Linked DNA regions of Caenorhabditis elegans. The gene in region 2 interacts genetically with the main gene of each other region. Each region holds a gene or a part of one and is shown on either strand. Other genes may lie near its edges.

Region 1 (13,221 bases), 4.3 Mb from region 2:
ACACGCAGTTTTTGAATAGGTCTCGCCACGCTCAATCTCATAACGGTCGTAACATGTGCCAAATTGTAGAGTTGTGGTTATTTGGTGCAGAAAATTAAGTTTATAAAGGTTACGAATTCCAAAAAAAAAAGAAATTTCCTTCACAGGGAAAACTGCGATTGATTAAAAATGTAGCACATAATTTCAAGTTTCACCTAAATGACGGTGTCCTAATTTCAAACAAACCTTCGCCATAATCATTCTCCATGGCATTGAGTCGGAGTCGACTTGAACAATCAATGCAATAAGAGCAATGGCTACAAGTAAAACTCGAACCATTATGATCGCAACAATTGAATGAATAAACTTTCGCCCCGTGCAACATTTATAGGTTGGCGTGGGAAGGCGGAAATGAACAAGGAAGAGATTATACAAAAAAGTGTGAAAATTGCAATTTACTAGACTATAATCCTCATGAATAAACTATTCGTTCATTGAAATTAATCCGAACTTTTCAACGTTGTAGATCGTTTCTTTTTGCAATAGACCAAAATTATATTAATTTTTTATGTAGCATGAAAAGAAAAAAAACCAAAAATTATGACAATATGTTCTGGAATCAATGGAATTATATCACAATTACACTCGAAAATATGATATCATTAAAATTCATCTTCATCCGTTTCGACTGATTCGTCTAGATTCGGATTTCTTCCACGCCGACGGCCACGTTGCAAAACTTCCTCATCCGAAGATTCAGATTCAGATTCAGGTTCCGAATCCTCGTTTTGAATTCTTGAAGTGTCTGTAGAAAGGCTTTTCTGATCTTCTTCTGGTATTGTTGATTGATCGGAATCTTTAGATTCATCTTCATCCTCTATTTCAACTAATTTCTGAGCCAATTGAGTTCTAGTGAGTGGATATTGAATTCTTTGAAGACAATGAAAATATCCAAAAGCATCAGAATCCTTGATTTTCTCATCACAATTTGCGCATAGAAGCCATTCGCAAATTGATGTTACTTCATCTTCAGTTTGGTCTTCAATACCGCGAAGGAGTTTAGGTGCACAGAGTAAAAGTGCCAGAATATGAAGAAGATGTGGAACATCTGCCAGTTTTTTTGATTCCTCCTTATAATCATCCAAAGTTTTCAGGAGACTTCGGTAGGCCGTACACCAAATAGTTTTGACATACTCTACGGCTCGTTGTTCAAGTTCAGTTCCGTCCTCTGAAAAATTTTAATGTTAATGAAAACAAAATAAAATTTAAAAATAACCAACCGAGATGTTTATATACAGACATTAGAGGAACAATCATTTCTTTTGAAGTTGCAGCTTCTTCTCCAATTTTTTGTAGGTGCACAGAAGAATCTTCGATTTCTAGAAGCTGAAATCTGTAACCCTTGTATACTCATCTTTCTGAATTAAACTCACGAAATGAATTCTTCCTAGGCAGGATAAATATAGATCTTTAATAGGCATTGGTCTTGAAATATCTGAAAACAGACATATTTTGATATCTAGGTTTTCAATGAAAATCCTACAGTACCTCGATTTGCAAAATTTTTGAAAATATTCGTTAAGCCACCAGAAGCAGTTGGGAATTCCATAGTGGCATGAAGAGCTCGTGTATGAAAATAGACACTTTCCAGGTTTTTTGCACTGAAAATTGTAAACTTTTTCCTGAAATCTATGGAATTTTGAATATTACCCAAGTGAAGATATCAATCCTAGCTGATTCCAGACAGCTCCATCAGCTGGATTAATGCGGCATGATTGCTCGTAATATTCCTGAGCTTTTGGGTAGTTCTCCTGAAAATAAATGTTATATGATTTTTCTAAAATACTACCCAAACGACACCCTTCGCTCTTTAGAATTTTTTGGTATCGAAAAATTAAAAATTTCGGGTTTTTTTTCGATTTTTCTTTTGGTCCATGTTGGATCAACTTCGAAAAACGAAAAACAAATTTTGACATCATTGTTTCCAAAATTATGAAAAAATTTCAAAACTACCTTATATCTCATTAAATCTCCCATTCTTAACAGAACATAAGCCATGAACACTCGACTATTCTTTTTCGACTTGATAGGTTTTCTGTTTAGAAATACATCTGGTGTCCATGTTAATTGTTTTGAGATATCGTTTCCATAATTTGGAATTTCATAATGATAATGAACAAGAAGTGATAAATCAGTCAAAAATCCAATTGCAAGATTTTGAACATTATGATTAACAAGTCGATCATTTTCCATTGCTTTTGTTATTTCATCCATCATTGATTTCAGTTTATTCCAGAATTTTACATCGAATCTTTTGGATACAGCAGTTTCGAAGTCAGCGACAAACATTTTCATTAAATGCTGGAATTATTCTCATTTCGATAAATCAACACCTCTCAATCTTACTCTCAAATACTGTGGTGCAGCTTCGGTGCCACGTGGAATTTTTCTCAACTCTACAGTAAGCTGTTCCCATTCGTCCGACATCCTGTGGAATCCTCTGGAACAAAATTGTTTTGTTTTTTTTTCAAATTTTAAAATATTAATCTGAAATCCTACACTTTTTCTAGCCACTCAAAAGAAGAAACAGGAAGTCAGGCGAAAAATTATTTTATCTTCAACTTTTTTTGTTTGCAAAAATTAAATGATTCAAATAACCCGGTTCAGAAAAGGAATGGGGATGCTGCATTTTGAAATTAAAATAAATGGAAGTTTCAAAATGTGTTCGAAATGACAAAAACAAAACGGATAGGCATTGGATTCTATATAATTCTATACATACAGAGAATCTTTGGGATGTTTGGAAACGGAAATGGGGTGGGAACATTGAAAACTTATCAAAAGAAACGTTTTCAATAAAAAGCATTATAGTTGGAAAAGAAAAAGTTCTACCGGTTTAGCCGAAACAAAAATATGAAAATTATCACAATTTCACATGGGGGAACGATTGCAGGCGGACTTAGACTGGAAAGAAAGTATTTTGGTGGGATTTTTAAGTTTTGGAGGAAACGGTGAATACGGGGTTAAAATAATAATAATAATATCGGGATGGGTGATGAGGGGGTGAATAATAGAACAGGATTCAATGTGACGAGAAATGATTAGTAAAATAACGATGGGCGAGATTATTCTTCGACTGGAAGTTTTTTGGTTAGTGTACACATGGGGTAGGGAAAATCACTGGGAAGAATAGAAAAAAGAGAGAAAATAAAGGTACATATTCGGGGAGAGACGAGAAAATCAACTAAAAAGTTGCAGTGTCCCTTGATTTTCAAAAAAAAAAACAAAATAAAACTAAATGAGACCATAGACATTGTAGTATGCCTTCTTGTTAGCAGCGGCCGCTGCTGCTGCTGATTGTGGGGTTTTTGCAGTTGCAGGTGGAATATATGACCAGGAAAGCATTTGGCTTCTCATTACAGCATCCATCACCGAATATTGCGAGTCTAAGTGAAGAACATTCGGAGCTGATTGAGAACGAGTCAATTTTGGAAGAATTATGTCGCGAAGTCGTTCGAGAACCTGAAAAATTGGAATTCATTCATTAAAATTTATTTAAAAATCAAACTACAATATTTTTTTGGATTTTTCAGTGTAGTGGAGTTATTCATGAGCGAAAAAAATGTTTTTAAAAAATACATCGATTTCTTAAAAGCATGTTTTTATCCATTTTTCGACAGCGTCAAAGAGTGAAAAATCAAAGGAAGCCACCATATTTAGACAAAACTGCCAATTTTAAATGTGAAAAAAAAGAGCGAAAATGTGTGAAGTACTGGAAGAAAATAAATTCCGAATTGTCCTCGCGGTGTACACGGGGAGAACGCCCAGCTCGTAAATTTACACAACTTTTGAAGAGACATAGTCATATGAAAACGTATGGTCTCGCCGCATGGCGGCTTACTGTAGTTTTTCGCTCGTCGACGCTGTCGAAACATGTACAAAGTACAAAAAATCGATTTTTTAAAAGTTTTTTGACACTCATGAATAACCCCATAATAAATCATAGTTCTACCAAATTTCTAAAGTCGGTATTTCCCACTCACCTCTCCAAATACTGGCCGCTCATTTCTATCGAACATAATGCAATTGTCATATAATTTGAGCATGCTCTTCGGCGTATCATGTCGAATTTTCGATCTATCCGGCCTCAAATACCCTCTTCCAACCATAAACAATATCTGATCTCGATTATTAATGTTGGAGTATGGTAGATGCGAAGATAGAATTTCGTACATGCATATTCCAAAAGAATACACATCAGACTGTGGGGTATATGGATTATCATCTTGCATTCTGATGACTTCAGGTGCCATCCAGAGAATACTTCCTGTTGGTTGTTGTTGCTGTTGACCTCCGTTCACTGTCCATTTCGTTTTGACAGTTGCCAAGCCGAAATCTCCAATTTTTACCGTTGACATGTCATCCATAAGGAATATATTGTTCGTTTTCAAGTCACTGAAATGTTTTAAACATTTAAACATAAATTATAGATATGGTCAGTTACCGATGAATAATATTTTTTGAATGTAAATAATTCATTCCAAGAGACACTTGCTTCAGTATATCAATGATAGCACCCATTTCAAATTCGACGCGTGGCTCTGAAAATTATTAAATTATAAGAATTAAAATCTCAGTTCAGATCACCTTGAACATGAATATGTCTATACAAACTCGATCCTTCACACCATTGAGTAATAATTGCAATTTCTGGTTCTCGAACCCATCCCATAAACAGCAAAACATTCAAATGACGTGTTTTCTTTAAAACTGCAACTTCATTTTTAAAGGCTGCCATTTGAGAAGGCGTCGGATCAACAACATTCAGCTTTTTTATAGCAACAGTTCCGAAGAATTCTCCACGATAGACGGTACCGAAGGATCCCGAACCAACTTTGTATTGAATCTAAAAGAATGCTTGTTTTAATAGTTTTGACAGAAGTTTTGAGCGTTTTTTTATTGCTTCAACTGTAAAAAAAAAAGCTATTTTCAGATAAATAAAATGTTTTTTTTCTATATTCGATCACTGAATTTAAATGAAAAAAATTAGGATAACATGCTCCTTTTGTAGAACTGCCGGTTTGCAAAAGCCGTGCACCCTTGCTGATGTAGAATAAACTTACAATAAATTCATTCGGCAATATTTCCCAATCCTCATGATGTGGTTTCTGTGGCGGCCTGGGTCGTTGTGCATCAAGTCGTTCGCCTGGCGATCGACTACGATTTCGGAAGAAACCAGGTGAAATCTAAACATTTTTAATTGAAGAAAAATAGATTTTTTTGAATTCTACCTTCTGAGGAGGTGCTGATTGTGGTGGTGTTAATGGGAGAGTATGCAAATGAGCGGCTACTAATGATGACGTCGTTGATCCTGATACATTCGGGGATTGTCCAAGAGTAGGTTGTCCGATTAAGCCACCTGGAGGTGATGAACATGTAGATGAAGGAGAATTCGAGCCAAGAGGAGTACAGTCAACAAGTGGGTGAAGACGATTCATTCGAGCTCCTGAATAATTGAGAATAAGTGAAATTAAAATAATTAGAGTCGTTTGGGAAATTCTTGAAGGTGGAATAGAGTAAAAATTGTTTTTATAACTTTAGAAAAACGTCTTAAATTTGGAATTTTGTTTTTCTTCCCTGACCTTTTGACGAATCGTTATGTTTTCTGTTTTCGATTACCTGACAAAATATGTCCACTCTGGAAATGAGGTCGATGACGTGCTTGTGTTGAAAGTAACGATCCAGTTTTATCTCGTGATTCTTCTTCTAATCGCTGAGCTTCCAATGCATCAAGAATTCTTTGCTGAAAATAATACATTTTAGACTTTTTCTTTTAAAATTGGTGACTATTACATTATGTTGAACTGTTGCCTCATCATTAATCGCATTGATATTCGGAGCAGAAGAGCTCCGATCCCGTGGATAAGGTCCGGATGGAGATAATTGAGATGTTTCATTCTGTGGAGAAACAGCCATTGGATGTCTTTTGACACCACCCGTTCGTTTAATACTCGTCAAATCTGGATGAGAACTGTCTGGTGTGGCAGCTGGACTTTGTCCACTCGTTGGAGCTAGATTAGCAAGAACTATTTCGGCAACTGATCTATCTGGGCCTTCGACTTGTGATGCGATCCCAAAGAGTTCTTTCACTAGCTGAAAATTAAATGTTTTAGATAAGAATTGTTTCTGAAGCAGAGGTGAGCAATTACGCCATGTTGTTCCAACATTTTTCATTAAAAATCAGTGTAAAAAATATATAGAACCACCTTAATTATCTAATGATAACTTTTAATTATGTTTAAACATCTATGAAAATGCACAAAAATGACCTAGAAGTTGCGAATTGCCTATGGCAAATGGCCATTATTGTGCATTTTCACAGATCTTTAAACATAATTAAAAGTTGTCATTAGATAAATAATGTGGTTTTCTATATTTCGACGTTAATGACAAATGTTGGGACAACATTGGTAATTTTGTAATATTGCCGCCCGCCTTTGTTCTGAACGCACATCTTCATTTTTCGGTACAGATTGTAACAAATCGCAATAAAGTGGTGCAAACGATGAGCATCTTTGATGAAATTTGAATTGACAAAATTCACATCGAAATCCCATCATCCAGATAGGATTATTGCATACATCACATGATTTCGGTGGAATAAACGTTCTTCGAACAATTGCATGTTTAATCGATGAGACTGTATTCAGATATTCTGAATGAACCCATAATTCATTTCCAGGCAGTCGGGATGCGATCTCTTCCATTGTCAGCTGAAAATATTCAAAAATAAGAATTATGCTGTTAGATTCCAGTAAATCACACCGATAATTCAATAGATTCTTGTTTTGGGTCAGATGACGCGTTCACGTGACATAATTGAGGTGTGATATTCCGTTTTTTGAGCAATTTCGAAATGGCATCCCGCGCGGTTTCACCGGGACGAACCTGAACAAAATGTGCTTATTTTCTTCGTTTCACAGTGAATTTTTTGCTTACTTCAACCCTAGAATGTTGATCAAATGGCAAATGAACCATAATCATTTTGTATTTGAATTTTGGCGGTTCCTTGTCACTTGTTCCTGCTCCTCCAGCGGAATGATGTCCAGATAACGAATGAAGACTATCACTGTGCTTTGGATAAAGAGGAGTTGAAGGACTTGCCATCGGCGAAGCTTGATCCTGAAAATAATTATGAGTTACATATAAATATTTAATTGATAATCTTTGGAATGAGAAGTGGACGCTTGATTCTGAATTGAATAGATTAACACGATTCCCCACAAGTAACATGTAATTAGTGTTAAAAAATTCAAGACAAAGGATTCGTTGCTAATTTTCTACCTTCCGATCAATAGATGAAGAAGCACATCTCGGCAGACTTATAAGCCGCGGAGATGGGCAATGTGGGCTCGTCGGGGTGGTCGACGCCGATGACTTTTTGAAATTAATCCGACTCATTCGGCGGCGTGTCGACGATGATGATGGCGTTTGAGATGATGTGACAGGTGACTTCTAAATTGCTGTTAGTGATTACATGTAATTAAAAAACAAAAGGACAATTTGGACGAGTAAAACATTAAACACGGACTTTTAAAGGACATTTGAGAAATCAGAACAAGCAATAAGTAAATTACTTTTCAGATGCTCTATTTTATTATTGTGAAGCACTTTTTAAAACAATCTGAACAAATAAATGTTTCCCTTTAGCATTTTTCACTTTCATTTTATTTGTGGAAAACGTTCGAAAACACACCGTTTCGCGAGAGCATTCCATGTGAAAATTGCAGTTAATTCCAAAATAAAATAAACCAGAAAATCAATATATTCGCAGATAGAAGGTCAACAAAAGAAAGAGAGCGGCGGTAAGGGGCGCAAAGATGATTTTTTTCTTTTCCGAGAAGAGTACACGGAGGGAGTTAGTCCGCGGGCCGAACACACTTTTCTCTTCCATTTTCGCGCAGAAGATTTTAACCCAGATTTTGCAGGGTTTATTAGAATTTTCAAATAATAAGGACAGCGTTGCGCTCGGTTATATGAATTTATGTAGATGGAGTGAAGCTTTAAATAAATCTATTATTAATGGAAATATGGAATACGTTTATTTTCATTAGTTGATAAATTAACTTTTCAAATCTACAGTAACTCGATAGCTGAAAAGAAAAGTTAAAACTTGTATTGAAAAAGATGTTACGAATGAAACGTGGGATTCCCATGTTCAAAAAAGGAATCACGAATGTTCAATTTGCTGGCCAATTAAACAATTGTGTTCGCAAAGTTTTAAATGCAATCGTGTATTTTCTCAATACAGAAGCCCCGCGGGTTGCTTCATAAAGTCATTTGATTATTCAAATATCACTATGATTTCACAGAGTGTACCCTATTGATTTAAATCAGTTTTCAACTTACTGGTGCCGATTTCCGACGATTCCAGCCTCCATGAAAGTGACAAACTGAATACAGTACAGCCATTGCAGACATTTTAAAATGTTATGTGATCAATTATGGAATATAATTATCTCCAGATAACTTTAGAAGAATTTCAGAAAGTAAAAATATATTGTTAACAGGGGCCCCTTTGGATCCAATGGTTCTCTTCACACACAAAAAAAGAGAGGCGGGGTTTGTTTTCGCCATCTATTTTTTCTCACTGGTTTCTGTGCTCTGATCGAGAGAGATAGAAAAAGAGAGCAAAGAAAAAGAAACGTGTAAATCGGGAGCGACACGTGCCACGAATAGGTTGACAATGTTTTCAGCGTTGGGTCTTAACACGAAACAGATGACCTTAGTTTGTGAAGAGAGCAGCAAGTTGATTTGAAGAAACAAGGTCATACGTGACAAAACACAAACTAGAAAAGAATATATTCGAAAAAAACCACTAATCAAATTATAAAAGAAGGAACTAGATGACATTTGGTTAATAAGCTACTTCTAGTTAGTACACCCCGAATTAGCTGTGAAAGTTGAAAAAACGGGAAAAGTTTATCTGAAACTGACAGACTAGACAAATGTCTGTGACATATTGCAACTAAGATTTTGCAGAATGTGGACATTTTTGAGAAAAAAGGGATTACATGACTCAACTGATTACCTTTACGTTATGGTAATTTTCAAATTTTCTGAAAAGTGAACTGATCTGTTAAGATTGGTCTTGCCACGAAAAAATAGTTCATTCTAGGATTTAGAAAAATTTGGTATCATTTGCTTCCTTGGAATCAACTTAACTTAAGTATTACTTATCAACTTATTATCTTAACATTTGTCAACTTTACCACTTTTAAACAGTTATTTTGAAACTAAATTTTCGAAAGTTGGAAAGCAGAATAAAAGCAGCTGGCATCACGGAGATTAAAACATATGTCTTAATGTGTTTTCTCGCGACGAGACCCATCTGAGTTGATACATGTTTTGAGGAATAAGCGTGAGTCTAAAAATCTATTTTGAAAAATCTATGAAAAAAATCCAAATTCTACGAATAAAAATCAATGGGATCGCGCATCAAATGTGTTTTGTTCGTTCCGCCTCTTCATTCCACTCTATTCTCATCTTTTTCCGCCAATTTCCACTTGAAAAGTGCGAACAATTCCTCAAAAAAGAAACAAAATACACTATATTCCACATCAAAGAGGTCATTTTTCTATCAAATATTTGTTTTGGTTTATCAAAAAGATTGAGGTTCTAAAGATTATTATTAAAAGTTTTAAATAAACAAACTACGAAAGCATTATTTTGATCTAATGTTGACTATACAAAACTTTTTCAAATTTCTTTGATCACTAGAATTTCAAAAAAAAACCTATTTCAGTATAATTGTAGTTCGCAAAATAACAATTATTTTCATTTTAATGTGAGATATCGTAGTTCTTAATATAGATTTTCAACAGAAATTCAGAAATTTGGCTTCATCGAAATTAACTTTGAATCGTACATTGGGACGTCCTGTCTTCAGAAATTTTCAGCCGACATGCTCAAACGAGCTCCAAAAAAGTTTAAAAGTATCTATTGCAAGGTTTTCGCCAGCTTTAGAAATTAACACCAAATCTACCTCTACAGTTAAAAGTTTAAGAGCATTGGACATTTCAAATTGAACGCTATTCAAAGATTATAATCAAAGATTATAATCGAAAAATCGATTTTTCGATTTTAAACTAGATCCCTTGAAACAGTGAAAAAATTTCTATGTTTAGTCGCTCAAAAACCTCTTCATACTCTGTGTGCTCGTTGTACTCAAAGTTTGTCTTTTTACTACATTTTGTATAGTTCGATTGCTTTTCCTTCCTCCTTTCCATCTTTCCCTTCTTGCTCTTTTGCTCCTTCTGGTCACCAAAAACATCATGATCATTGATTTTCTCAGCTTCTCTGAGTATCTTGAACTCTACTGATCTTAAATCAGTTCGGTGCAAAAGAAAACGAGAAAGAAATGAAGAAAAAGAAGAAGATATATGTGTATGTGATATATTTATTGTTTGAGTGATTTAGTGACAACAAGACTCGGCTGACTTTTGAACTAGTTTTTAGGGGGCTCTAGTTATAGATCAACTGTAGATAATACTAGAAGTGGGCGCATGATGCACACATCGCCAACAAAATCTGGTCAACAAATAAGTTTTGACATATTTTGTAAGTTTACGATTTGTCTGAAATTTTGTATGGGCTACTTACATATAGTGTGCAGTTAGTATATACAAGCCTACAAGTTTTAGCTAAGCTTCTTGGTACTTTGTTCTGAAAATATGTAACATTACTAATTTTTTTGCGATATTTTGGATTAGGCCTTTGAGTTTTGATGTTAAGTAATAACTAAATCAATTATGTTTTGTTCGTAGATGAGAAAAATTCATCACAACATTTCATCAAAATTGGACCACACACACAGAAATTTTATAGCAAATGAGAAACAGTGAAATTTACTAAAAAATATTAAATTTTTCCGATTATATTTTTTCGTTAAATATTTAACTAGACAGTGAATAAGTTCAATTAATTGCATAAAAAACAATTTAAATTTTTTTCAGATCAAACAACTAAGAAGCTATTAGCTGAAACTAGCTGAAACTTTTAGGATTGGATGTCCTAACTGCTATATAACTCACCTATACAAAATTTGAAAATAAACTTGAATTGACCATACATATACGTCTTATTTGCTGACCTAATCCAATTAATTGTAGAAAATTTAATTTTGATTTCTAAACTTTTACAGATCTAAAATTAAATTGACACCTGTTTTTTTTTCTTGCTATTTCAAAACATTTTTCAAGCTGACTACAGAAATCTATATGTTTATAGTTGAAGAACAGTTGTTCTAGATTCTAGAACCTCACTCATTCCAGGTCAATAACTCAAGAAAAGTCTTCATGTCCTTCCATCGTCAGGTGACCCAAGACACCCGAATTCATAAACTACGTCAAATGTGACCCATATTTCATCACTAAGTCATTGGAGAAGATCAGCAAAGAAAAGTGAAAAAACATTCGAGAAGGACCTAGAACACATGCACCTCTCATAAAAGACGGGTCGGCGACGAGTCACTTTGCTCGTTTTTATTCTATCTTTTCGTTTCAAGCAAAAAAGAATGAAAGTTAGTGTAATTTTTCTGGGATCTTTGTGTGTGTGTGAGCTAGATAAACATGCACATACGGGTCCTTGGAAACCCGTGAAAACAATTGGAAGACACTTGATGTGAGGGAATGAAAAATATGAAATTGATGACAGATGATGATTTGGACTTCGAAAAGTTCTAGTGATCCTACTGTAATTTTAGCAATATATATATAAAGGTGTAAGAGGCACACTTCCGGAAAATCTTGCGTCTATAAATTTGTGGCTTCGTTCAATCGAAACTGAGTTGTTCTAAAAATCTTTGATACTATTTCAGTTTGTAAATCAAAAAATTGAAAATGGAATATAACACTCCTAAAACCTAATTGTCTACAAGAAAACCATAACTCATCGTGTAGGCGACCTACGCCTACTTTACATTTGTTCATGTATTTACGGAAATGTAGGCATAGGTTGCCTTCGAAGTTACGCCTGCCGTGCGGCATGTAGATTAAATGAAAATTTGAAAACTTTAAACTTCAACTTATAAAAAATCTTGAAAGTTGCTTAAAAATCTGAACCAATACATTTTTGAAGCAAGATTTTATGTGACCTACAACAAACAAAAAATAAATTTTGAAGTTAGGTCAATCACGCAGATTAAAAATTAACAGCCTGAGTACCTACATGTGAGACTTATTTAACACCTGATGCCTATGTTACATATAAGTCCTCGCGGTAAACTAGGCTACCTTGTAGGAAGTCAGGTAGGTATTTTTGTATCTCCATCGATGACTTACCACTATCGAGATCTAACAGTTAAATTTATAATGTTAAACTCAACTAGAAAATCAACTAGAAATACGGTCTGGAAAAACCAAGAAAAAGTTGAGAAATTGACGCTTTTTCAAAGAAAAATGCATAGTTCCAAATCTTGAACGGTTCCTTTTTGATCATTTTTTCTTAATTTTGACTAAGACTACTATTAATAAATACTAATTTTTCAGAAAACATCAAATTGTATTAGAAAAAGAAAAGAAATGATTTCTGTTTCACCACTTTTGTAAAATCCTAGACAAGTTTGTAACATCTTTTATGAATTCATTGTAGTCTTACAACTCGTGATTATCTTTTTCCCATAAGAGTAAGATCAGTCATGTTTAATCTATCGAATCTCTGCACTTTCCCCCTAATAATTCCCATGAAAAGCCACAATCAAAAATCATTTTGCAAAGTTACAACTCGCGATGAATGAGAATTAAATTGGACACATGGGAAATGCAGAAAAAAAAGAAATGCAGAAATTTAACACAAAAGCATAAGTGAGCACTCTCCTGTTTTTCAACAAAACGGGCGCCACGTTACCAAGGCAACCAATGAGAGCTTCCGAAAATGGGGAAGAGAGTTGGAGAAAATGCTTGCATTTTTTGAAGGAAAAATAGTTTATGAAAAAGAAGAGAGAAGACAAAATGAAGGGAAATAAAATAGGGAAGAAGAAGAAGAAAATGAATGTGAATAAAGGATAAAATATATTTGGAAGAGAAGAAGATATTAACTTTTTTTTAGGGATTCTAATGAAAAACTGAAATGAGAGAAGATCGGGAAATAAATACATACTTGTTTGAATTCTAAAACTTTTCAAAACTGGCAAAAAGTTTCAAAATTGTAATTTCAAATTATTGCACATACAGGTTATGTCTA
Region 2 (12,777 bases):
AATTGAGCCATACATTCGTATTCATCACAGTTGCAATACCAAACCAGTAAGTATTTCTAATTTAATCTAATCTTATGAGTGAAACTGTAGGAATAAATTAGAAAATCTGGCTGGTAATAAGGAAAATGGCAATTTGAAAAAGTTTGATATTTTCTTGAATTATTATACATTATTATAAATTATCATGAATAATACATTGATGAGAAGCAGATTATAAAGGTGCATATATAGATACAAATTAACCTTGTGAATTGAAAATATCTAGTACAATATGACACTTAAATAACCCTCCCAAGTAGGCAAATATCTCTTCCTGACTGAAAGCCAATTTACGCTCTCCTGATGATAAATTGAAACTTTTGGTAAATTTATTGCAAATCAGAAATACGCAAATCTACACAGTGCAAATACTGAGCGTGGTTTGAAATGCAAAATATAGGCGGTAGGTATTTAGGCACGTAAACATGCACACCTACTTAGCAATAGCTACTTCGAATATAAATTTGAAAAACTTAATTGAAGAAATTTAAAAAATGTTATGTTTCCAGGGATGTGAACGCGTTTCCGAATATCAAATTCCACAAGAAAAAATCGGAGAGGTCTATGACATGACTTATGTTACCCTTGATATTATTGTTCATGGAGAGAAGACCATCTGCAACTAATTATGATTTTTTTGTTTCAACTCATATAATTGTATGTACATAAATTCGTATTTTACCCTAAAACGTTTTGAACTATTTCTGGTTTTTGTTTTTAATTGATTCGGAGTACAACCCCCTGCCAACTGACGAAAGAGAAACTTCGGGATTCCGGAATGATTGGGCAGTGGAGTGGAGTGGAAAAAATATGTTCAGGAAGGTTGAAAAATACGTCGAGAGAAGGTTACGTAAGAAGTCAAAAGAAAGAAACAATTGAAGAGTGACAAATAGAACGAGGACAAAAAAATAATTTTCTTGTCGAAAAGAAGTATAACTTTTAAATTTGGTCTATTTTGATACCTTCCACAGAAAGAGTAAATTCAGAAAATAAATATATATAATAAAAGTTAAAAATTTCCAGAATCGTTTTGTGTGACATCGGCAACTACCGCAGCTTTCCAGATTTCAAGTTTTTCTGAAGATTCTAGTTACGCAGATCTGACATTTTAAAATTGTTGTTCTTTCAGCATTGGAATAAAAAATGCTCAACTTATAAAAGGTAAACCTATACAGTTAGAAAATGATATAGTGCTGGCTGCACACCAAGCTGTAACACGATCGTGTATATGTTCTTCTGGATATCTGACTTGTTTTTCGTTGATGTTTCAATTTTTGTGAATCATCGTTCTTTGTTACTCGAAGTCCGGGAAATCTGGGCATTGCAGTAGAAAGTGGAAAAAATACTATATTAAAAAACATAGGTCAGTACTTAATTGAACCCCTCGAGAAATAAAACAAAATTCATTAAAAATAAGTTTGAACTGTTTATGAATTTATATATAATTTAAAACCTCATTTTAATGTTCAGAAAGCTGAATTAGAACTTCGAAACTATGAAATCATGAAACAGTGCTAAACGAAGAAACCCTCCAGTTTTTGTTGTGATGTTTAAAATTTTATATATTGTCTGACGCATTCACATTTCAAACATAAAATTCTGAGATTCAATTAGAGGGATCAATCACCAACTGGCAATAACATCAGAGACTGATCTCAAACTTTAGTGTTCGAAGGATTATCAGAAACTCAAATTGCTCTTTGTGAACATTGATTTCAATATCGATTATGTTTTTGAAAATTGTTTTGCATGCATCTAATCTTGTAAACATATCAATAATCAAGTGTACAAAATGATCATTACAGCTTTGTTTGTTTGTTTGAAAGACTGGAAGCGGATATCACTACATCCCACGTAACATCACAAAAACTATTAGCCTGAAAACGAAAAAAAATTCCAGTTGAAATATAGAAATCAATCCAATCTGAATGTATTGTCAATAATAAATATTGTGAATCAAACGGAAACGTAATATAAAAGGTACAGCGTGAGCCTGTAATATGACAGCTGAAACTGTACCGATTTTCGATAAGGTATTTCGCAGACGCACGCCTCCCCTCCTATAGCCCGGAAAACGCCTCCGATAAATATGATTTTAGATAAAATTAGAAAAAAAATTAGGGTTAACATGTAGGCGCCAAACGCATGCCTGACATTAAGGCGACGGGCCTCCCTCACGCCTCAACTCGCGCTTTCTGCCAAAATGCAGAAAACCCTGATACCACACCCTTCTCCCATGGAACTCCTATGTGGATCTGATTATCAGAAAAGAAAACTTCCGTATGTGCACAAGATATTCTGAATCCAATTCCTCCCCCGTATAAAAAATGAGTCATAATTATATTTTGAAATCTTGATTTTGTTTTTCAAGCTTGCCAACCCATTATCTAATCCCTGATTACTTGTTGTTGTTTCTGATTCAAGTTCTCATGTTGTCTCATGGCTGGCTGTTGGACACGCCAATTGGCTCTCGTTTCTTTGATTCTATTGGTTGATTGAAGGGGGGACAACACCTGACGTTAATCTCCAAATCTCAATATAAATAGTGAGCCCCAACACGACGCCAGTCACCTCAACAACTTATTGTTGAAAATGCGCTCGCTCGTCGTGTGTCTCTTGCTCGCCGCTTGTGCTCTTGAATGCACAGCCCGTCTTCAGAATGTTACTGTTAAGGGAGTTGCCGTGTGCAATAAGAAGAGATTGGCAAATGTTGAAGTTCAACTCTATGAGAAGGACACCCGTAAGTTCATTGATAGAACTTTTCTATAAATGTATTTGTATTTTTCAGTTGACCCAGATGATCTTTTGGACACCAAGAAAACTGATGCTGAAGGAGAATTCAGCGTTTACGGAGAAGAAGATGAGACTCATGCTATTGCCCCATACCTTTTGATTACCCATAGCTGCAACCCATCTAAGCCAGTAAGTCAAAATAAATAATGGAATATATTTATTAAAATAATTCCAGAACTGTGTCCGCATCGGAAGGTACTTGGTGCCAGAGGACAAGATCGGAGGAACCTACGACATGACCTACGTCACCCTCGACATCAAGGTTCACGGAGAGAAGGAAAAATGCCAGTAAAAAGTGCAAACTTCCTGGATTTTATTGACTATCTAAATATATATTTTTTCTATATGATTTTTCTCAATTTTCCATTAATAAAAACATGAAATAAATGTTTAGTTTTTTCAACGAGGACCTGAAGAGACTAGGGATCAAAGGAAATTACAAAAACGATGCAAATATTGTACCCGTTGGAAATCGAGGAGTTGAACTGGCAAAATTATACAAATTGTCACAGGAACTGAGAGGGAGAGTGAGAGAACTATAGAACATTTGGGTGGGATATAATAGGGTGCCAAATGCAATCTATAAAACATGTAGAACGATATGAAAATAGAGGAAAAAAGAGAAAGCGAAAAAATTTGAAGAGACCAGAGATGTTTGAGCAGTGGTAAATCACAATTATAGCACAGAGAAGTTGATGAAAAAAGAAAAAGATAAGACAAAATAAGGAAACAAATTATAATTTCATGTGTGTCGAATCATTGGTTCACATGTTGCTGGTGATCCTTGTTCTCCAGAACTTCGAGACGGGGATCGAAAATTCTGAAACTTTCAAATGAGTAATCATTTTATTATTCAGAGGTTAGATTTTGCGATTTTTGCACAAATAATACGATACCAGGTTGAACTGCGTCTTTTAAGATTACTGTAATCATTTTCCAAAAAATAAACAAATGGATGTAACCCGAAAAATGTATTGTATTATAATCAATGAAAATTTCGTAGCAACGAGGGGTTGCAAAAGACAGTAATCTTTAAAGGCGCAATTCCGCTTGCAGTTAAAGGCGGAGTACAGTCATTTTTAAAAATGTGATCTAAATGAAAAAGGACCGTAATAAACAGATATAACTGCTAAAAAAGTAATGAAAAAACATTTGAGGGATAATTATTTTTGAATTTGCGACTAACCTGGATTCGACATTTTCACTTTTATGAATAAATTCGTTGGTTTTTCTCAATTTTTTTTTTCAATATTTGATTTGAATTACTGTTTCTCAATTTTTCAGACAATTCTCCGCGCAAAAAATATTAATTTAAGTTAAATTATCGATATTTTTGCCAAACTAGTAATTTCAACGAATTTCTTTCGGGGGTTATTTCAAGTTTACGGGAAATTGTCTGAAAAATTGACAAACGGTGTTTACATCAAATATTGAAAAATTAGAAAATATTTTCCAGAAATCATTCCATCATTTGCGCGGTAATTCAAAAATAATTAGCCTTTTTTTAGTTTTTGCAAAATCCAAAAAATCATTAAAGATTTAAAAAACTTTCGTAAAGTTTTTTAACAGTTATATCTGTTCATTGAGGTCTATTTTTATCATTTGAAGTGCATTCAAAACGACACAACTCCACATTCAACAAAAATTTGTCGTGGAAAAAATCGCATTTGAGTAATATCACCTCGATTCTTAGTTTTTAAAAACAATAATTACCGTATCTGCAGAATCCAACTCGATATTAATTACAGTGTGCGCCGGTGGTGGACATGTTACTGATGCTTTTGAAACTTCTGATTCAGTCTGAAATGTGCGATTAATTTATTTTCAAAAAATCCATGAAAATCGAAAAACTGACCGACTGATATGATACTGTTGAAAAATCAATGTGGCCAGAGTAATTAATTGCTGAAACTTCAACACGTGGCACTGACTTGTAGTGCTTCGGCGTGTCGTCGTCATTGATACTCCTGAAAGTTCATTTTATTTTGAAAATGAATTTTCAGAATTTTGATACCTGGATGGAATGGTACCTTGACTTCTGAGAATGCTGAAAAAGTTGTTCCGTGCTTGTTCATTATTTCGAATAGCTTGTTGACGAGTGGGTATTCTTGATCCAGGAGTTGATGATATATTTGGAGGTACTGTACCCGGTGTTGGGATAGTATAAGAACATGATGGAATTTGATGAACTGGAATATGTCGTCCATTTGGTGTTTTGAGGACATTGAATGCTTCTGGTGGGCACATATGACTCATTGTATATGTCATATCATCCGATCGTTTAGACATTCTGAAACATTTATATAGTTGTTTTTGAACAATTTACATTAAAATGTTCGAAAATCTTTAAAAAAAGATGCTTAGAAAATTAACAACAATTTCAAAATATTATTAAGCTGTGTGTTGATTAGAAAACAATTTTCCTAACATAATTTTCTTCTGAAGAGAGGAGAAAAGAATAAACTGGCCAAAATTCAAATATATTTTTCGAAACATTGCATTTTTGTATGCAAATTTTTTTCGATTTTTTTAAACTTGAAAATCGAAATTTTTCGTTTTCCAATTTTTCGTTCTTCAGATATTTCAATATTTCAAAAAAAAATCAATTTATCGGTCATTTTTCTCCTTTTAGAAAAATGCTATTTTCTAAGGTTTTTTCTCATCAAAATGAACAAAATTTCATAATATCCTGAAATTTTTTCTGAGAAAAAAAACCGAAAATTTACCAAGACTTCAAATTTTTGATGAAAAGTATACCTTCTATAAGCATAAACAACAATTGTTATAAACATGATGAGCATGACAATGAGAAATGCGAACGCAGGAATAGCTGATGTTGAAGATTGCTGAAAAAAAGTATGAGCAAATGCAGCATTTTAAAATTTAATTTTTTTCATATTTCGAATATTCTAGATTGACGAATAATGTGGACATCAAGCCCATTATATAATTTATATTCTCACCACAATTCTCTCATAAAGCCCACTGAAAATAGAAGAAATTTCAGAATCTTGACTGGAAGGCGTTGTAGAAATCGTTTGATTTGGATGATGAACCATAAAAATTAATGGTTTTTTCGTTTTTCCCTAGAAATAATTTACAAAAATGATATGTTTCTCATAGAAAACCATCACCGCAAACAAACCAAAAAATAATTAGATGAGAACATGCTACATGCAACTTAATTAGGGTTTCACAATAAGGGTATTTTTGTTAATTTTTTTTGTTTAGATGAGAGATTATAATTACTTGAACGAGGAGTTGCGCCGTGCTGCTCATCGTGCTCAAACGTACATTATATCTGCCGTTGATTGGGGCATAGAACGCCTGAACGTAGTGACGATCACAACGAGTGCCTTCCCAACCCTGTGGACAACTGCAAAAAGGATTACTGTACTTGCTCATAATTGTTTCCAGACTTACTGGCAAGAAGGAACAACTGCTGAAACTCTATCTTCACGGAATATCACTTCCACGTGGCATGTCGCGTTGTGATGACAGTAGTCTGAAAATTATTTTTTTTCAAGATTTTAGACTGAATTCATTAATCTATTAAAGAACTCCAATTGCATAAATCCATTTGCAAGGGTGTCGATTTTCGGAAAAAAACACCCGTTTTTAATTATTTCAACAAGCAAGAATCATGGAAAGATGTCGTCGAAAACTTTTTCTATTTTTTGAAAATCGAAATAATCGAAAAATTCATTCATTTGAAATCGAAAATCGTTTTTAAATTTAAATTTTTGAAAAAACTAAAAATCAAAAACTTTCAATTTTTTGTTGGTTTTTTTTTTTGAAAATTCAAAATGTTCGGTAATTTTCCTATTTTATAAAATACATTTTCGCATAAAAATTGACATGTTTTTAAGAAACCTAGTTTTCTCGTTTTTTTAAACATACATTATTTCCAACTTTTTTCAGTTTTTCAATTTTTTAGATTTTCAAAAACTGTTTGTTGAAATAACTAAAAAAAGGGTTGGTTTTTCCCGAAAACCGAGAAATCTGAAAAATGGAACGAAAACTCAAAAGGTTTTTCAGACCTAATCAAATGGCTACCTTTGCATTTTGCTTCTTTCAACTTCTCGATTTCCTTCCGAACCGCCGGTTTAAGAGTCGACGTGGCATCTTGAGTGGCATCTTCATTATATTTTAACGCTTCTTCTACTTCTTCATCAACCTTTTCATCTTCATATTCACCCTCATATTCTGCTTCTTTCTCGACTGAAAAAAACAAATTTCTGAGATTTTCTCTATACATTTAAGTATTACTTAATTCTTTTGCAACCTCTTCAGTTCGTTTTTCATCGTCTCCAGCTTCGGAAATCGTAGTTTCAGTAGGTGTTTCAGGTGTCGAAGTCGACGACGGTGCATCACCTATTTCGTTTGTTTCTAGAGAATTTCGAGAAGTATCGGGTGGTACAGAGCCACTATTTTCAGCTGCATTCTCTGCAGATTGAAGCTGTTCGGGAGCACTACGTTCTTGACGAAACCACGAAGGGAGACACGATTCTGAAACTTTTATTGATATTTGAATGGAAAATAATAATCTTTGTTTTGATATTATAGACATACCAAATGCGACTAGAAGTCGTTCAGGAATCGATTTACCGAACATTTAAATTTTTCGTATTCAAGAAAATATGTATAATTTTCTTAATATTACTTTTCCAAAAATGCCTGAGACATTGGTAAGAACACCTGTGTGTACAGTTTTCAGGGTCACAAGAAAAAACCAGCATAAAATACACAGGTGCATTGAATAGGGAGAGACGGGAAGTTCTAGAATTTTGAAAGTACAGAAGCTCAAGGATCCACGGAAAGAAACTTGAAGAATAAAAAAAGTACGATTTTATTTCTTTGTTTCTAGACTACTGTAGATTGGTTGTTAGTCTTTTTTTGAATTTGTATTGTGATTATTGTTCTCGACATCTACATTTTTTTGTCAATTTATCAAATTGCCTGATTTCTTTAAAAATCTACAATAATTAATGACAAACCATTCAAGGGACCATTTAAATTCGAATATGTAATAACTGGTATGTACATAGTTGGTGGTAAACTCGTAGATTGCTGCCAATATAGGTGAAATAAATACCGATGGTAGTATTGTCAAGGGTGTTTATGAGGGGGTGCATACAACATTTTGGCGGTGTTGGCGGGTACTTGAATATTTACGATCACCTACTGTGCATTGCTGTATGACCTCTTCAATTTGCAACCGGGTAAACGGAAATTATCACAAAATACGGCTATTCGCCAGACGCAAAATTTTGCAATTTTCGCCCCAAAAATACGGTCCGTGGTCTCGACACGACAATATTTATTTAATGTAAATAGATGAGCGCCTTTGAAGAGTACTGTAATTACAAAATTTCGTTGCTGCGGAAATTTAATCAATTTTTTAAAGTTTTTCTTACGATTTGTTAAAATTGGTGTGCTTTTATAGTTGTTTTTGAATAAACAGACAATTTTTTATCGGAAACCAGTTTTAAAAATTCGGCAAAAACGGGAGTTTGAAATTACAGTACTCTTTAAAGGCGCACATGCATTTAATAAAAACTTTTCGTGTCGAGACCCAGTACCGTATTTTTAGAGCAAAAATCGAGAAAATGCCTGAACAGGGCTGTAGATTTTTCGTGTATTTGGTGGAAAATTTATTTTTCGATTTTTTGGAAAAAAAATTAAGCGAAAAATGCTGATATACTGAAAAATTATAAATGTTTAAATTTTACAACTTTCCAAAGAATCACACTGGAAATTGTGAACATAAATAGTGCGATTTCGGTCAAAATATCGTTTCAAACTAAATTTTTCATTTTCGTTTTCGAAAAAAAATTCCCTGCTCCTGAACCAATCTTTTCTCATAGTCGTTTGTGGCGATTTTTATTCCATATGACAATGTTTAGTGCACTAGACAAAAAATGTGTAGAACACGAACACACATGTGGTTGTAGTGTCAAATATCATTCGATCCGTTCAATATGTTTTAAGAGGTGTGACGTTCAATTCCAAGTAGAACATCATTTTTTTTAAATGAAAAATTACCTGTAAATTGAGGCATAAAGAGTAGAAGGATGCAAAAAAGTAGCATTTTCCGCATTTTGGAAACTTGTGGGCGACGATATCTGAAATAATTTTTTTTTTTGGATAATTGTTGAGAAATTTAATTGAAATACCTTATGAAACAGGAAAAATTGATGCATAAGGGGTGGGAAGAACACCGACAAGCCGACGATCCGTTATTCTGAAAATTAAAATTTAAAAAAATTGGGAATTTTTTAAATTTTTAAAGAGAAACATAAGGAAATATTGTGCAAAGAATGCGAAATTTTTTTACGGTACCCGGTCTCGAACCGGCCGATTTTCTTGAATTCCAAAGAGCGTGTACCTTTAAGGAGTACTGTAGTTACCAACTCCTTATTGTTGAATTTCTTCAAAAAAAATTGATGGTTTTAATGAAAGAAACAGGTAAAAATTGTGAAAAATCTGATAAAAATATCCCAACAATACAGGGTTGGTAACTACAGTACTCCTTAAAGGTGCACGCTCTTTGGAATTCAAGAAAATTGATTCCGGCTACCGTAATTCTTTCTTTCAAAAAATATCCCAAAAATATATAAATTTATAAAACTCAGAGACTCTGATGGCCATGATGATTCACATGAACTTTCTGGCTACCGCACTAACTGTATTTCTTAACTGATATTAATATCACAGTTTTATACAAGGAATGTTAGCTGAGAGCAAAAAATAACAAAGAAACATCAGAGAAAACAGAGAAAATCGTACAGTCTAGTAGTAGATCAGCTAACTGTTAGAGAAAGATCGGGAGAAGTGGGAAGCTAACTGTTGATCGGAAGAGTAATTATTGCGAAACAAAAAAGTTATGAAAAGAAATCGAAAAGAGGTTAGCTTTGACCCTGGGAAAATCAGTGGCTTCTTGGTGGTACTTTTCAGTGGCATGAGTCAGTCAACGATGGGCGGTTCGAGAAGAGAGCAAATAGAGAAGATGCGCAGTGATCTATTTTGATGGTGAAAAAATAACTACAACATATTTTAAATTTAATCTTTTCTATTATTATGGGGATTCAGAAAGACAGTCATTTTAGAATCGACGTTGAAACGCTCCGCCCACAACCCATGGGTCTCGCTAGGTATTTGGTGGAAAATCCGTAAATTCAAGCGTTTTCAATTAGTTTTGCCAATTTTTGTTATTTTTTATGTTGTTTTTGATTATTTATAAGCCGAAATAATTTTTTGAAAATTCGTGTAATGTTGAAAAGTGAATAAGTTTTAAAAAAATTTGTTTATGAACTTTATTTCATTAATTTCCAAATGAAAATCAATACAAAGAAAGTAAAATAAATTTTTAAAAATTGACAAAATCGGTAAAAGTAATTTAAAAACTCTGAATTTACGGGTTTTCCGCTAAATACCTAACGAGACCCATGATTCGTGGGCGGTGCTAATTGGCCGTGGGGAACGATTCCACGTATATTTTAAAATTGGGAATTTTGTTTGTTCCTATAATATTTTCGGAATCTTCCAGGTTACTGTAACACTGAACAAACAAGAAAATGTCGAACATGGATCTGATGGAAGTATGGATACGGATGAGTTGAGATAAATTATAAAATATGTTAATCAATGTCCACTTTGCAAACAATTCCTCAATTTCGAGAGATAAATGTTCTTGTGTTAGCAACAATTTTCAGAATCTAGGGAATTCCAATATAAAAAAACAACTCGATGAGCAATCACTGTTTGCATTTTGCCTATTTATCAGGAATGAAAACGAGACTATTTGGGAAAACTGGAGGAAACATTAAAGTGTATCAGAAATACGGCGTATTCCTTTTTCACATGAAATCGGATCTTTTCAACTTTGACACTACTTCTGGTTCTTCCTATTCCAGTTTTCAGAAGATTCTAAGACTTTATGAGTCAGCCAGTCAGCAAGTTTGTAGAGAAGCGAGGAGACAAATAGAAACAGTAAGAGCACATTGGCTCAGAAATTGGAAACAATAGGAGAAACAGGAGGAAATGGTAGCGGGAAAAAGAGAAGCACTGCGCAATTGAGAAGGTCGGAAAAAAGAAGGAAGAACAAACAAATAGTCGGGAGAGGAAGTAAGGTGAAAAAGAAGATCGACCTTCGTGAAATACGTGGGATATCAGAGGATATGTCTAAGATTCAGAACTGTAAAGATCTATAATTCGAGAAAATGAGGGTTTCTCATTTGATTATTTACAGTTGAGTTTCTGGGTTTTTGTTTGATTATCACCTTTATTGCATAATTGGTCGCTAATCTTTTGATTTGTCGCTTTTTTTTTGCAATTTTTGGGCACGTTCACGAAATTTAAAATTTTAGCAACATTTAGTTTTTATTTTCGAAACTCGAATCCGCCATTAAAAATTTTTTGAAACTTTTGTCCGAATTTTTCGTGCTAGATTTGTAAGTTATCCAATTATATAATCGTAAATTGAATATATTAGTATCAATTCGTCCTTAAAAACAATAACATTTATGGAAAAAGTACGCAGAAACGTATCAGCATGCAAGAAAACCCGAGAAAGGAAATATATGGGAGGTGCTTGTATGACCCACGAAAACTAAAATGGTCAGCCGGGTGGTCAAGAGTTGTGTATATCGTTTTCTGATTCAAAATTCAATAAAGACAAAGATATTCTTTGGAGCAGAGAAACTCTAGCGCTAACGCTTCAAAAAAACTACTAATTGTAGAAGCAGCGGTTTGATTTATGAGACACAATTTGGTAAGCCGCCAAGGAATCCAGTGCACCCCACAGGAGTAGGATTTAGAGTTATTATATCGGCAGAGGCTTATTCTAAACTCGAAAAATTGAAACTGTGAATGATAAAAGACTAGAAAATTATTTAACCAGAGCAAGATATATAGATATAAAATATCGGGTTCTATGGAAACGGTAAAAAGCCAGGTAGGACATTTCATCTATCCTCCTAACATTAATAAAAAGAAATCGGATACTTTGTGATGAATAATTTGGAGTGAATCCAGAGGAACATCTTGCACACGAACGGAAAGAAAAAGGCTGGTGGTGTGAAGAGCTCGTTTGACTGGGAGAGGTGGCAATAAATAAGCAAATGTGCAGAAGCAGGTGCTCTCTTAAGTTTTGCGATGATGATGGGAGCAAATTGGAAAACGATGGAATAGGGTTTCTCGCACTTTTCTATAACGAAATGGTGATTCTTTTTTTTTTGATAAAAGATAAAAGCTGTCATAGAAGAAATCTCGAACGATCCCAAACTTTAGAGATTTCCAAAGAGATAACCACCTATTCGTAAGGATTTTCACACAAAAAATGACGGAAACGTTGACAAATTTGAACCATCCGGCCACCCATTTTCAATAGAGATGAAACGACAATAGCGATGAAGACGTCTCGGACCATTGCCGATTCGTTCATTTACCTACATTTTCATGCATTTTTTCTGTTTAAGACGATTTTCAAAATTTGGAGACATGTAAATTACATTTTTAGAAGTTTAAGGAAGAAAATAACTCACAAATTTTCAGCATTGAATACCCGTTGAGTGGCGATGTGGTGCCGATGGCTATGTACAATCTGGAATTAGAAAAAATGATTGTTTCTTTGGAAAACTGGAAAATAATCAGAGAATTTTAATAAAATATTCATTTGATAACTGATAAAGATTAAAAAAAATAAATATAAAAAATTAAATTATCTTTGAAAATTTGGTTGATCAAAACTTACTAGAGACAAGGGAAAATGCAGAGACGCAGAGGAGAGTCCAATGGAGCACGGTCGCAACATCTTCAAAATTCGAGTCACCACTGATTACGAGAACTGGAAACATGGAAGAAATGAGTTCCGAGGTCAGCCAAGCAGATTTTCCATTATATTTCATTTCCAAATAAGTTACTTTAAGAAGGAAAACACCTTAT

What was found.
Region 1: of lin-3 (region 2) and lin-45, changing one enhances a phenotype caused by changing the other (phenotypic enhancement), as found in Caenorhabditis elegans (one large-scale study listed by BioGRID).

What each region holds. Positions count from the first base shown.
Region 1 is NC_003282.8:6,739,965-6,753,185, forward strand, and holds lin-45 (Raf homolog serine/threonine-protein kinase), read right to left. Parts: upstream 8,461-13,221; coding exon 8,389-8,460; intron 7,851-8,388; exon of another isoform or gene 7,757-7,850; coding exon of another isoform or gene 7,736-7,756; intron 7,495-7,735; coding exon 7,324-7,494; intron 7,162-7,323; coding exon 6,979-7,161; intron 6,928-6,978; coding exon 6,805-6,927; intron 6,753-6,804; coding exon 6,492-6,752; intron 6,133-6,491; coding exon 5,833-6,132; intron 5,783-5,832; coding exon 5,659-5,782; intron 5,486-5,658; coding exon 5,271-5,485; intron 5,226-5,270; coding exon 5,103-5,225; intron 4,886-5,102; coding exon 4,627-4,885; intron 4,581-4,626; coding exon 4,484-4,580; intron 4,435-4,483; coding exon 4,023-4,434; intron 3,502-4,022; coding exon 3,274-3,501; 3' UTR 2,574-3,273; downstream 1-2,573. Other genes in the region: Y73B6A.3 (TransThyretin-Related family domain), read right to left, coding at 226-318; smg-7 (DNA/RNA-binding domain-containing protein), read right to left, coding at 642-1,207, 1,260-1,365, 1,413-1,474, 1,528-1,640, 1,690-1,790, 1,993-2,340, 2,386-2,466. UniProt on the Caenorhabditis elegans protein: Protein kinase that participates in the induction of vulva and has roles in fertility and viability. Acts downstream of the Ras protein let-60. Required for progression of developing oocytes through the pachytene stage.
Region 2 is NC_003282.8:11,053,969-11,066,745, reverse strand, and holds lin-3 (Protein lin-3), read right to left. Parts: upstream 8,933-12,777; coding exon 8,878-8,932; intron 7,448-8,877; coding exon of another isoform or gene 7,405-7,447; intron 7,348-7,404; coding exon of another isoform or gene 7,342-7,347; coding exon 7,102-7,341; intron 7,054-7,101; coding exon 6,889-7,053; intron 6,338-6,888; coding exon 6,256-6,337; intron 6,209-6,255; coding exon 6,082-6,208; intron 5,919-6,081; coding exon 5,796-5,918; intron 5,679-5,795; coding exon 5,590-5,678; intron 5,123-5,589; coding exon 4,847-5,122; intron 4,800-4,846; coding exon 4,688-4,799; intron 4,633-4,687; coding exon 4,546-4,632; intron 3,653-4,545; coding exon 3,575-3,652; downstream 1-3,574. Other genes in the region: ttr-17 (Transthyretin-like family protein), read left to right, coding at 1-46, 549-665; ttr-16 (Transthyretin-like protein 16), read left to right, coding at 2,632-2,779, 2,828-2,961, 3,008-3,124.